Linked DNA regions of Saccharomyces cerevisiae S288C. The gene in region 1 interacts genetically with each later gene. Each region holds a gene or a part of one and is shown in the gene's direction. Other genes may lie near its edges.

What was found. Genes that interact genetically often act in the same process or in processes that back each other up.
Region 2: mutations in INP52 (region 1) and RVS161 impair growth when combined (synthetic growth defect), as found in Saccharomyces cerevisiae (4 studies listed by BioGRID, with this or other methods).
Region 3: mutations in INP52 (region 1) and PIL1 together harm fitness more than expected from each alone (negative genetic interaction), as found in Saccharomyces cerevisiae (7 studies listed by BioGRID, with this or other methods).

Annotation. Positions count from the first base shown.
Region 1 is NC_001146.8:420,444-426,433, reverse strand, and holds INP52 (phosphatidylinositol-3-/phosphoinositide 5-phosphatase INP52), read left to right. Parts: upstream 1-1,938; coding exon 1,939-5,490; downstream 5,491-5,990. Other genes in the region: 2-isopropylmalate synthase LEU4, read left to right, coding at 1-1,539; YEATS domain-containing protein YAF9, read right to left, coding at 5,656-5,990. UniProt on the Saccharomyces cerevisiae protein: Dephosphorylates a number of phosphatidylinositols (PIs) like phosphatidylinositol 4,5-bisphosphate (PtdIns(4,5)P2), but also phosphatidylinositol 3-phosphate (PtdIns(3)P), phosphatidylinositol 4-phosphate (PtdIns(4)P), and phosphatidylinositol 3,5-bisphosphate (PtdIns(3,5)P2).
Region 2 is NC_001135.5:130,245-133,629, reverse strand, and holds RVS161 (amphiphysin-like protein RVS161), read left to right. Parts: upstream 1-2,087; coding exon 2,088-2,885; downstream 2,886-3,385. Other genes in the region: ADY2 (Ady2p), read left to right, coding at 506-1,357; serine/threonine protein kinase SAT4, read right to left, coding at 3,349-3,385. UniProt on the Saccharomyces cerevisiae protein: Component of a cytoskeletal structure that is required for the formation of endocytic vesicles at the plasma membrane level.
Region 3 is NC_001139.9:649,098-652,445, reverse strand, and holds PIL1 (lipid-binding protein PIL1), read left to right. Parts: upstream 1-1,828; coding exon 1,829-2,848; downstream 2,849-3,348. Other genes in the region: PDC6 (indolepyruvate decarboxylase 6), read left to right, coding at 1-1,156. UniProt on the Saccharomyces cerevisiae protein: Negative regulator of cell wall integrity (CWI) in unstressed cells, probably by inhibiting protein kinase PKH1/PHK2 activity and regulating their downstream CWI pathways PKC1-MAP kinase pathway and protein kinase YPK1 pathway.

The DNA of each region.
Region 1 (5,990 bases):
CAAACAGATTTCGACTTCACTAGATATGCTGTAGAAAACGCCCCAGACGATGTTAGTATTCAATGTCTTGTCCAATCTAGAGAACACTTGATTAAGAGAACGGTGGAAGCATTAACAGGTGCTAAAAAGGCTACTATACATACTTACTTGGCAACAAGTGATATGTTCCGTGAAATTGTTTTTAATATGTCTAGAGAGGAAGCTATTTCCAAGGCAGTAGAGGCCACCAAACTAGTTAGGAAACTAACTAAGGATGACCCTTCCCAACAAGCCACTCGTTGGTCCTATGAGTTTTCCCCCGAATGTTTCAGTGATACTCCAGGTGAATTTGCTGTAGAAATTTGCGAAGCTGTTAAGAAGGCTTGGGAACCTACCGAGGAAAATCCAATCATTTTCAACTTACCTGCTACCGTAGAAGTTGCCTCTCCAAATGTTTATGCTGATCAGATTGAATACTTCGCTACCCATATTACTGAGCGTGAGAAGGTTTGCATCTCTACACATTGTCACAATGACCGTGGTTGCGGTGTCGCCGCCACAGAGTTAGGTATGCTTGCAGGTGCCGACCGTGTAGAAGGATGTCTCTTTGGTAATGGTGAACGTACAGGTAATGTGGACTTGGTTACTGTTGCTATGAATATGTATACCCAAGGTGTTTCTCCTAATTTGGATTTCTCTGACTTGACCTCTGTCCTAGATGTGGTTGAGCGTTGTAATAAGATCCCAGTATCGCAAAGAGCACCATACGGCGGTGACTTGGTCGTTTGTGCCTTTTCCGGTTCTCACCAAGACGCCATTAAGAAGGGTTTCAACTTACAAAACAAGAAGCGTGCTCAAGGTGAAACTCAATGGAGAATCCCATACTTGCCATTGGATCCAAAGGACATTGGCCGTGATTACGAAGCTGTCATCAGAGTCAACTCTCAGTCTGGTAAAGGTGGTGCCGCTTGGGTTATTTTGAGATCTTTGGGTTTGGATCTACCAAGAAACATGCAAATCGAATTTTCTAGCGCCGTTCAAGACCATGCTGACTCCTTGGGTAGAGAACTAAAATCAGATGAGATTTCCAAGTTATTCAAAGAGGCTTACAACTACAATGACGAACAGTACCAAGCTATTAGTTTAGTCAATTATAATGTTGAAAAATTCGGCACTGAACGTAGAGTGTTCACTGGTCAAGTCAAAGTAGGCGACCAGATCGTCGATATTGAAGGTACAGGTAATGGTCCAATCTCTTCTTTGGTCGACGCCCTATCAAACTTGTTGAACGTGAGATTTGCCGTAGCAAACTACACAGAGCATTCTCTAGGTTCTGGTTCTTCTACGCAAGCTGCTTCTTACATCCATCTATCGTATAGGCGTAATGCCGACAACGAAAAGGCCTACAAATGGGGTGTAGGTGTCTCCGAAGATGTCGGTGATTCTTCAGTGAGAGCCATCTTTGCCACCATTAACAATATTATCCATTCTGGTGATGTGTCCATTCCATCTTTGGCCGAGGTCGAAGGTAAGAATGCTGCGGCATCTGGCTCTGCATAAGAACTTTTCTGTATTTCAGGACTTATTCGCTTCTATTTATTTCTATACTTATTTATTTACTTCCTTTCCTTTTTTTTTAACCATATAATTACTAGAAGCACGGATGTCTAAATTAGAATTACGTTTTAATATCTTTTTTTCCATATCTAGGGCTAGTGCTTGTTTTTCTTTTTTTAGTATATTCTTGAACCAAATACGTGTGGGGTGACCCGAAACTTGTTTGGCGGTTAGTGACGAAATTGAAACAAACCTGGAGTTATTAAGAGAGATTTAACTGGAAAACTAGGCATAAAGGACAATAAGTACTCGCTTCATATAGTCTCAACATATTTTTGTTCGCAGAATTGGTGACAAAGGCCACGCAAAGGCAGCAGAATCAAAAACAAATACTCAGTAGCTATGAAAATACTCCTATCGAAACAGCAAACTAGAAAGATAGCAATAGTTTCAGAAACACATGGACTGGTATTTAGGCCAATAAACAGTAAGAACTCTCGCAGATCTACATGTGCCGTGGAATTGGTTCCGAAAGCTGAATTAAATGGTAATGGTTTCAGAAGACTATCTAACCATGAAATATACGGTTTTATTGGTCTCATAGAAATTGAAGGCCTTATGTTCATAGCAACCATAACAGGTAAATCTAAGGTGGCCCAGCCGATCCCAAACAAAACGGTTAACAAAATATATGCTGTGGATTTTTTTTGCTTAAATAATTCTAAATGGGATTTCATGGACATCGATTCATCCGGTTATCCGATTGTTACTAATGATGGAGATTTTGCAATAAGCTCGCCTCCTAGTATTTCCACACATTCTTCTAGATCATCGCTACGTTCTTCTTCCTCTAGGAGTTTGAATGCTCAAGAACAAGCTCCCAAGCATCCATGTCATGAACTAAGAAAGCTATTATCAAATGGATCTTTTTATTACAGCACCGATTTTGATTTAACTTGTACATTGCAGAAACGTGGATTCACGGAACACTCTTTGAGTTTTGATGATTTTGACCGGGAGTTTATGTGGAACTCGTTTCTTATGGACGAAATCATCACATACAGAGACAGACTAGATGTAACGGCCAAAGAACTATTGGATCAACGAGGATTCCTCACGACCGTAATCCGAGGGTTTGCTGAAACAATTTTTAGCTATATTAATAGGTTGAAAGTAGGACTTACCATTATTTCCAGGCAAAGTTGGAAAAGAGCAGGCACAAGGTTTAATGCACGTGGTATAGATGATGATGGCCATGTCGCAAATTTTGTTGAAACAGAAATGATTATGTACTCTTCTCAGTATTGTTATGCTTTCACGCAGATAAGAGGAAGCCTTCCAATTTTTTGGGAGCAGGATACATCTTTGATTAGTCCAAAGATTCAAATTACCAGATCTGTTGAAGCAACACAGCCCACGTTTGATGAACATTTTATAAGACTATTTAAGAAGTATGGGCCAGTTCATATAATCAACCTGCTGTCTACTAAATCTTCAGAAATTCAATTATCGAGGCGATACAAGGAACAGTTGAAAAATTCTGAGAAAATGAAAATCGGTAGAGATGTGTTCCTAACAAGCTTTGATTTCCATAGAGAAACTTCGCAAGATGGGTTTGCAGCTGCAAGTAGGATTATCCCTAAAATAAGAAACACAATTTTGGACGCCGGTTACTTTTCATACGATGTAAAAGAAGGGCGATTAATATCCGAACAAGACGGTGTCTTTAGAACCAATTGCTTGGATTGTTTAGATAGAACAAATTTGATCCAACAGACGATTTCACTGGCCGTTTTCAAACTATTTTTGGAAGACTTCCGATTGGTAAAACCCAGTAGTTTCATCGACGATAATGAATTTGTGCAAAAGGTGAATGCTTTATGGGCCGACAACGGAGATCAGATATCACAAATTTACACTGGGACAAATGCTCTGAAATCGTCCTATTCAAGGAAAGGTAAAATGTCTTTTTCTGGCGCCCTTTCTGATGCGACGAAGTCCGTTAGTAGAATGTACATCAACAATTTTGTAGATAAAGGAAAACAGCAAAATATTGACACACTTTTGGGCAAACTACCGCACCAGCAAGTTGTTGAACTTTATGATCCAATCTGCGAATACGTCAATGAAAGGCTGTTAGAGTCAGAGGAAAAATTCACCACTCATTCTAACATAAATTTGTTTGTCGGTACATTCAATGTTAACGGAAACTCTCGAAGAGCAGATTTGTCAAAATGGTTATTTCCAATCGGCGATAAATTCAAACCTGATGTCGTTGTGTTAGGGTTGCAGGAAGTTATAGAGTTGACCGCAGGGTCTATCTTGAATGCAGATTATACGAAAAGTTCTTTTTGGGAAACTATGGTTACTGACTGTTTGAATCAATACGAAGAAAAATATCTTTTACTTAGAGTGGAACAGATGTCCTCTCTTTTGATACTATTTTTTGCAAGATCAGATAGAGCCTATAACATAAAAGAGGTAGGTGGGTCTACCAAAAAGACTGGGTTTGGTGGTATTACTGGAAACAAAGGTGCAGTAGCCATTAGATTCGATTATGGGGCAACTTCATTCTGTTTCGTTAATACACATTTATCAGCAGGTGCGAGTAACATTGACGAACGTCGCAATGACTACAACAATATCTACAGGAACATAACCTTTCCAAGATCAAAGACAATTCCACACCATGATTCGTTGTTTTGGTTGGGTGACCTTAACTACAGGATAACTTTGACAAATGATGAAGTTAGAAGAGAATTAAGGGCTCAAAAGGATGGCTATATTGATAGATTGCTTCAATATGATCAGTTGACTCAAGAAATAAATGAAGGAGTGGTATTTCAGGGCTTTAAAGAACCGACCCTCCAATTCCGTCCGACCTATAAATATGATTATGGCACAGATAATTATGATACTTCTGAAAAGGCGAGAACTCCGTCTTGGACTGATAGAATCATATATAAAGGTGAAAACCTGCATCCATTGGCATATTCGGACGCACCTTTAAAAATAAGCGATCATAAACCAGTTTATGCTGCATATAGGGCAAATGTGAAATTTGTTGACGAAAAAGAGAAGCTTAACCTAGTTGAGAAGCTGTATGCAGAATATAAGAATACGCATCCCGAAGCACTAACTACAGGTCCTGACGAACTTTCTCATGCAAGAATGGAAAAACAAAAGGAAAGTATACCCTTAGATGCAACCGTTCAATCAGCGGGCATAAAACTAATTGACCTAGATGATACTTCCTCGTGCGTTTCGCCTCTACTTTCTGGTCCCAGTCCCCAACCGTCTGTTGTTGGCCCTGGAGGACTCAGTAACGTATCACCCGATAAAAGTAAGCTCAATGTGCTTCCTCCGCCTCCTCCTACCTCGAGGCACAATAAGGAACCATCTTCTAAACTTCTTTCCCCTACCAAAGAGATTTCCATTGTCAGCGTATCGCCGCGTAAAGGTGAGAGCAATCTTCCTGCCTTAGAGAGACACAGTACACCCAAACCACTGCCGCCAGTGCCCGCTTTATCTTTATCTAAGCCAGTCTCTTTACAGAAAAGTTCTTCAGAATTACAGCATGCTAAAGAGACCATAGATAATGGGAAAATTGTTCCTCGACCTTGTCCTCCTATTAGAAGGAAGAGCAGTACTGCCCCGGACGAAATCTCTACATCTACCAAAAATTCAGGTGTGTCCACTACAGAAGATCCTGAGCCAGCAAAGGCCTCCACAAAACCTGAGAAGCCACCAGTTGTCAAAAAACCGCATTATTTAAGTGTTGCTGCTAACAAGCTTAACACCTCTCAAGAACACTCAATAAAAGTTTCCCCGTCGAATTCAAAATCTGAAGAGGAACTCCCTTGCAAGAAAAAGTCTAAACCAAAAGTTCCTGCGAAGAACCCTGAACTAGAGAAGCTAAGCGTTCATCCATTGAAGCCTTGCGACCCCAATTAAATTGTGTTACTAAAATTACGCATTTATAGAATATGTATCATAACTGTTGTTTAGATGTTTATATGACTCTGCACACATTTCGGTTTTGTGAGCGCCGACCTTTCAAACCATGATCTGTATTACTATGGCTGTTATGAAAATACCGTTGTTCCGGGTGCAGTGATCCTAACTTCCGTTAATGGCTTCTTGTTTTACCAAGTTTTCCAGTTTCTGCTTCAATTCGTCAATTTCCTTGTCAACCTTTTCTATGCCGATCTCTATTCTGTCAATTTCTTCCTGTTCTAATTGCTTGGAGTATACACAATCATCAGTTTTGTTTGAAGGTAACAAATTTCCTGGTCGGCTCATTAAAATTTTGAAAAACTCTTCATTTGGCTCATTGAATACAATTTCATCAAAATACACAGAACTAACTTCTGCATCTTTACTATTATGGTCTGTTGTATTCTGCTCATTTCCATTGTCGGAATTCGGTACAGGATTAGCATAAGGATGAAGTC
Region 2 (3,385 bases), on another chromosome or scaffold:
ATCCGGAGCTCCGTGGAATAGGCGAGCGGCTGAGTGGTTCTCCAAGCTACGGTTTTTACGTGTAGCCCCATGTGAGCAAGCCAAACAAGGGCCCTTAAAGGCGTGACTACAAAAAGGGGCGGGTTGGAAGGTCATCTGCAGCGAGATACGAAAAGATTTTTTGCCAGATTTGCGGTTGGGCGGCTATTTCGGTATTGTTGGGGTAACAAACGTTGGGGAAGACTGCATTTTCTTACAGCTTTTTTTCGTTATCGCGGGTTGGGCGGCTATGGCGCCTTCTCCTCTGTACTCCAACCTGTCAGAGACACCAAGCTGTATATAAAGCACCTTGGTTGGATCGTATTTCCCTGAGATCTTGCTATAGGTTCATTTTATATATCGTCCAATAGCAATAACAATACAACAGAAACTACTAGCATCTGTTTATAAGAAAAAGGCAAATAGTCGACAGCTAACACAGATATAACTAAACAACCACAAAACAACTCATATACAAACAAATAATATGTCTGACAAGGAACAAACGAGCGGAAACACAGATTTGGAGAATGCACCAGCAGGATACTATAGTTCCCATGATAACGACGTTAATGGCGTTGCAGAAGATGAACGTCCATCTCATGATTCGTTGGGCAAGATTTACACTGGAGGTGATAACAATGAATATATCTATATTGGGCGTCAAAAGTTTTTGAAGAGCGACTTATACCAAGCCTTTGGTGGTACCTTGAATCCAGGGTTAGCTCCTGCTCCAGTGCACAAATTTGCTAATCCTGCGCCCTTAGGTCTTTCAGCCTTCGCGTTGACGACATTTGTGCTGTCCATGTTCAATGCGAGAGCGCAAGGGATCACTGTTCCTAATGTTGTCGTCGGTTGTGCTATGTTTTATGGTGGTTTGGTGCAATTGATTGCTGGTATTTGGGAGATAGCTTTGGAAAATACTTTTGGTGGTACCGCATTATGTTCTTACGGTGGGTTTTGGTTGAGTTTCGCTGCAATTTACATTCCTTGGTTTGGTATCTTGGAAGCTTACGAAGACAATGAATCTGATTTGAATAATGCTTTAGGATTTTATTTGTTGGGGTGGGCCATCTTTACGTTTGGTTTAACCGTTTGTACCATGAAATCCACTGTTATGTTCTTTTTGTTGTTCTTCTTACTAGCATTAACTTTCCTACTGTTGTCTATTGGTCACTTTGCTAATAGACTTGGTGTCACAAGAGCTGGTGGTGTCCTGGGAGTTGTTGTTGCTTTCATTGCTTGGTACAACGCATATGCAGGTGTTGCTACAAAGCAGAATTCATATGTACTGGCTCGTCCATTCCCATTACCATCTACTGAAAGGGTAATCTTTTAAGAGCACGACCTACTAATAACGAGAACTATTGAAATAAAAAAGAGTAGTTTTTTATTTTTCAATTTTTTAATATGATAATTATTTTATGACTTATATAACCACACCAACTAATCGTACTTTTATATGTTTAAATAGAATGGCTGTTTCAGTCGTACACTATTAATAACATTATGTTACTTCGCAATTAAATGTTTTTCAAAGCTAAAACTTCAAAACAAGATATAAACAATGTACAAAAATGATTACGAAAATATAGATGATGTAAGCAAGGTACGGTTATAAACAGTTAACATATAAGTTTACTTCACTTTTTTGCTGACTCCTTTACTTGTCTTCCCTGCACTTTGATTTTACTTCAGAAAAAATAAGATATATGTTTCTGATAAAACTTTTAGGTTAGCGGAGAAGATGTTGCCACGAATATCATGTAATTGAAAGGCAACGAAAGGTCTATCGTTTGCCATTCATAATGTGATTCGACTTGTCTTTTTCATTGTAACAGACATGAAACGTTTCCTTTACGTCCCTATGAATTTTTGTTGGCTGAACTGGGCGCTGCAGGGGCTGGACGATCCAAATGCGCGGATTTTGAACAATTATGAGAATCCGAATTAAAAGAAAGGGAAAACAAATTTAATAACAGGCAGACGTGAGAGAAGAAAAGGAAACGCTGTGATATAGAAAACTATACAAATCCTATTATAAGAAGCCAGAAGAAAGCTGATACAAGATGAGTTGGGAAGGTTTTAAGAAAGCTATCAACAGAGCTGGTCACAGTGTGATAATTAAGAATGTCGACAAGACCATTGATAAAGAGTATGACATGGAAGAACGTCGTTATAAAGTTCTTCAAAGAGCAGGTGAGGCATTACAAAAGGAAGCCAAAGGTTTCTTGGACTCATTGAGAGCTGTGACAGCATCACAGACTACCATTGCCGAGGTCATCTCTAACCTCTATGACGATTCAAAATATGTTGCTGGTGGTGGTTACAACGTTGGTAACTATTATTTGCAATGTGTTCAAGATTTTGATAGCGAAACTGTTAAGCAATTAGACGGGCCCTTAAGAGAAACCGTACTAGATCCAATAACAAAGTTTTCGACGTATTTCAAAGAAATTGAGGAGGCCATAAAAAAGAGAGACCATAAGAAACAAGACTTCGATGCTGCGAAGGCAAAAGTTCGTAGATTAGTGGACAAACCTGCTAAAGATGCCTCTAAACTGCCAAGGGCTGAAAAAGAATTGAGCTTAGCTAAAGATATTTTCGAAAATCTTAATAACCAATTGAAAACTGAACTACCACAGTTAGTTTCATTAAGAGTACCTTACTTTGACCCAAGTTTTGAAGCTTTAATCAAGATTCAGCTAAGGTTCTGTACTGATGGTTACACTCGTTTAGCGCAGATTCAACAATATTTGGACCAACAATCAAGAGACGACTATGCCAATGGGTTATTAGACACTAAAATCGAAGAACTATTAGGACAAATGACAAGCCTAGATATTTGTGCGCTCGGGATAAAATAAATTAATGCTTTTGCCTTTAGTTTTTTACGGTCATTTATGTTTCTTTCATTTAAATTAACAGACCTAAATAGCACTATAATTTACTATCTGCTCTATCTGACCAACCGACTCTTTTTAAGAAAGCAATTAAAAAGCGATAATAACCGCGGGCATGTGTTTTTGTTAACATGAACACAATAAACGTAAGAATGTCTAGCAATAAATTCAAAATTATTATCTTTTTTTTTTTTATTGTTATGTACTATTTTTTTTTTTAAATAAGGTTACAATTCTTTTTTAATTAATGGGATTTACCAATTTGAACGTGATCCGTAATCAGCCAAACGGGATATAAAAGTAGAACAATAGAAGCGAGGAATAAGATACGAATGCCGGATAACAAAGCATTCCTTAGTGTACTAGATTAAGTAAAAAATACCGAATTGTTCCAAAATATCGTGATATTTGAAAGTGAAGTACTCGTTTATTTCAATGCGCGCCCATTATGGCAGCATTTTATC
Region 3 (3,348 bases), on another chromosome or scaffold:
TCTTTTGGAAAAACCGATTGATCTATCATTAAAACCTAACGATCCCGAAGCTGAAAAGGAAGTTATTGATACCGTACTAGAATTGATCCAGAATTCGAAAAACCCTGTTATACTATCGGATGCCTGTGCTTCTAGGCACAACGTTAAAAAAGAAACCCAGAAGTTAATTGATTTGACGCAATTCCCAGCTTTTGTGACACCTCTAGGTAAAGGGTCAATAGATGAACAGCATCCCAGATATGGCGGTGTTTATGTGGGAACGCTGTCCAAACAAGACGTGAAACAGGCCGTTGAGTCGGCTGATTTGATCCTTTCGGTCGGTGCTTTGCTCTCTGATTTTAACACAGGTTCGTTTTCCTACTCCTACAAGACTAAAAATGTAGTGGAGTTTCATTCCGATTACGTAAAGGTGAAGAACGCTACGTTCCTCGGTGTACAAATGAAATTTGCACTACAAAACTTACTGAAGGTTATTCCCGATGTTGTTAAGGGCTACAAGAGCGTTCCCGTACCAACCAAAACTCCCGCAAACAAAGGTGTACCTGCTAGCACGCCCTTGAAACAAGAGTGGTTGTGGAACGAATTGTCCAAATTCTTGCAAGAAGGTGATGTTATCATTTCCGAGACCGGCACGTCTGCCTTCGGTATCAATCAAACTATCTTTCCTAAGGACGCCTACGGTATCTCGCAGGTGTTGTGGGGGTCCATCGGTTTTACAACAGGAGCAACTTTAGGTGCTGCCTTTGCCGCTGAGGAGATTGACCCCAACAAGAGAGTCATCTTATTCATAGGTGACGGGTCTTTGCAGTTAACCGTCCAAGAAATCTCCACCATGATCAGATGGGGGTTAAAGCCGTATCTTTTTGTCCTTAACAACGACGGCTACACTATCGAAAAGCTGATTCATGGGCCTCACGCAGAGTACAACGAAATCCAGACCTGGGATCACCTCGCCCTGTTGCCCGCATTTGGTGCGAAAAAGTACGAAAATCACAAGATCGCCACTACGGGTGAGTGGGATGCCTTAACCACTGATTCAGAGTTCCAGAAAAACTCGGTGATCAGACTAATTGAACTGAAACTGCCCGTCTTTGATGCTCCGGAAAGTTTGATCAAACAAGCGCAATTGACTGCCGCTACAAATGCCAAACAATAAGCCATTAGTAGTGTACTCAAACGAATTATTGTTGCAAATAAATAAACTTACACAGTTTGAATACATAAATCAATCAGACAAATAAATACATCGGTTCAAATTATACTAAATCTAAATACTACGTTATCGCCGTGAATTACGCAATTCGCATGTTACGTACTGCGCGTCTCTTGTTGAATATTTACCAATTGGGAAAAAGAACTCGTATTTCATTCCCCTTTTTGGAAAGGGGTGGGGAGAGACTGTTGTTCAGCCACGTCAATTATTATTTTTTCTTTGGCCCTGCGCTTGTCTTATAAAATTCCGCAGCCGCCTCTTATTTTTTTTTTTTTCGATTTTTGGCCCACAGGTCATATTGCAAAAACCGAATGGCCGCGCCCCCCTCACGCACGGGACGGAAGAAGGGCGGCGTCCCCTGTTTTTCTGCTTTGGCTCATCTCTTTGGCTCCGACGGACGAAAGACGGGATTCCCCCTCCCGTGTCTTTTTATAAATAACAAGTGCTCATTCTGCATCCTTCCTTGTTTCCCGTCGTTTGGGTACAATGCGTTGATTATCCCAACCCAAGAAAGAAAATTTGTCTCACATCTGCATCTGCACATTTATTTACCTATACTTTTCCATTGTTAGCAGTATTGCAAAGTGAAGAATATATCAGCATCAAGTATATAGTATGCACAGAACTTACTCTTTAAGAAATTCCAGGGCACCTACCGCCTCTCAATTACAGAACCCACCGCCACCACCATCTACAACCAAAGGTAGATTCTTTGGGAAGGGTGGTCTAGCTTACAGCTTTAGGAGAAGTGCTGCTGGAGCTTTTGGCCCAGAATTATCCAGAAAGTTGTCTCAATTGGTTAAGATTGAAAAGAATGTTTTGAGGTCCATGGAATTGACAGCCAACGAAAGACGTGACGCTGCTAAGCAATTGTCTATTTGGGGGTTGGAAAACGATGACGATGTTTCCGACATCACTGATAAATTAGGTGTCTTGATCTATGAAGTTAGTGAATTAGACGACCAATTTATCGATCGTTATGACCAATACAGATTGACTCTAAAGTCCATCAGAGATATCGAAGGTTCTGTTCAACCATCTAGAGACCGTAAGGACAAGATCACCGACAAAATCGCCTACTTGAAATACAAAGATCCTCAATCACCTAAGATTGAGGTCTTGGAACAAGAATTGGTGCGTGCTGAGGCTGAATCTTTGGTCGCTGAAGCTCAATTATCTAATATCACAAGGTCAAAGTTGAGAGCTGCTTTCAACTACCAATTTGACTCCATCATCGAACATTCAGAGAAAATTGCTTTAATCGCTGGTTACGGTAAGGCTCTCTTGGAACTATTGGACGACTCTCCTGTCACTCCAGGTGAAACCAGGCCTGCTTACGATGGGTATGAAGCCTCTAAACAAATCATTATTGATGCTGAAAGCGCACTGAATGAATGGACACTAGACTCTGCCCAAGTCAAGCCTACTTTAAGTTTCAAGCAGGATTACGAAGACTTCGAACCTGAAGAAGGCGAAGAAGAGGAAGAGGAAGACGGTCAAGGCAGGTGGTCCGAAGACGAACAAGAAGATGGACAAATTGAAGAACCTGAACAAGAAGAAGAAGGTGCTGTTGAAGAACATGAACAAGTCGGACACCAGCAAAGTGAGTCTCTTCCCCAACAAACAACAGCTTAATCAAAATAAATCAACAATCTATTAGAAACAAAAAAAAAAAAACCAGCAGAAAAGAACAAGTTACCATACTAATTAATCTCTTTTAATTAATGCGTGGACAGATAATCATTTCTGTTCCCTCACTCTGAAAAAATTGTTTTATTTTCCTATTTTTTTTTTCATCTATTATTGTATTTTGCCCTCTCCTCACTCCTTACTTTAGTCTATTATCAATATCTCTTCCCCCTCCTAAATATGTACTCTTTTATTTTTTTTAATTGTGAAGGAACAATTCAAGTTAGAACTCTTTTGATAGGAAACATTATTTCCTGTGTAGCCTAATGTTTAATGCCTAATTTTTTTCTAAAATGCAGCAACATACATATGTTGAGTCGTATAGACATCTATATATAACAAGCACAGAACCGTCTAATTGGTATTTTTCAGGACATTTTAAACATCCGTACAACGAGAACCCATACATTACTTTTTTTAATATTCTTTTTGTTTTCACCGCCTTC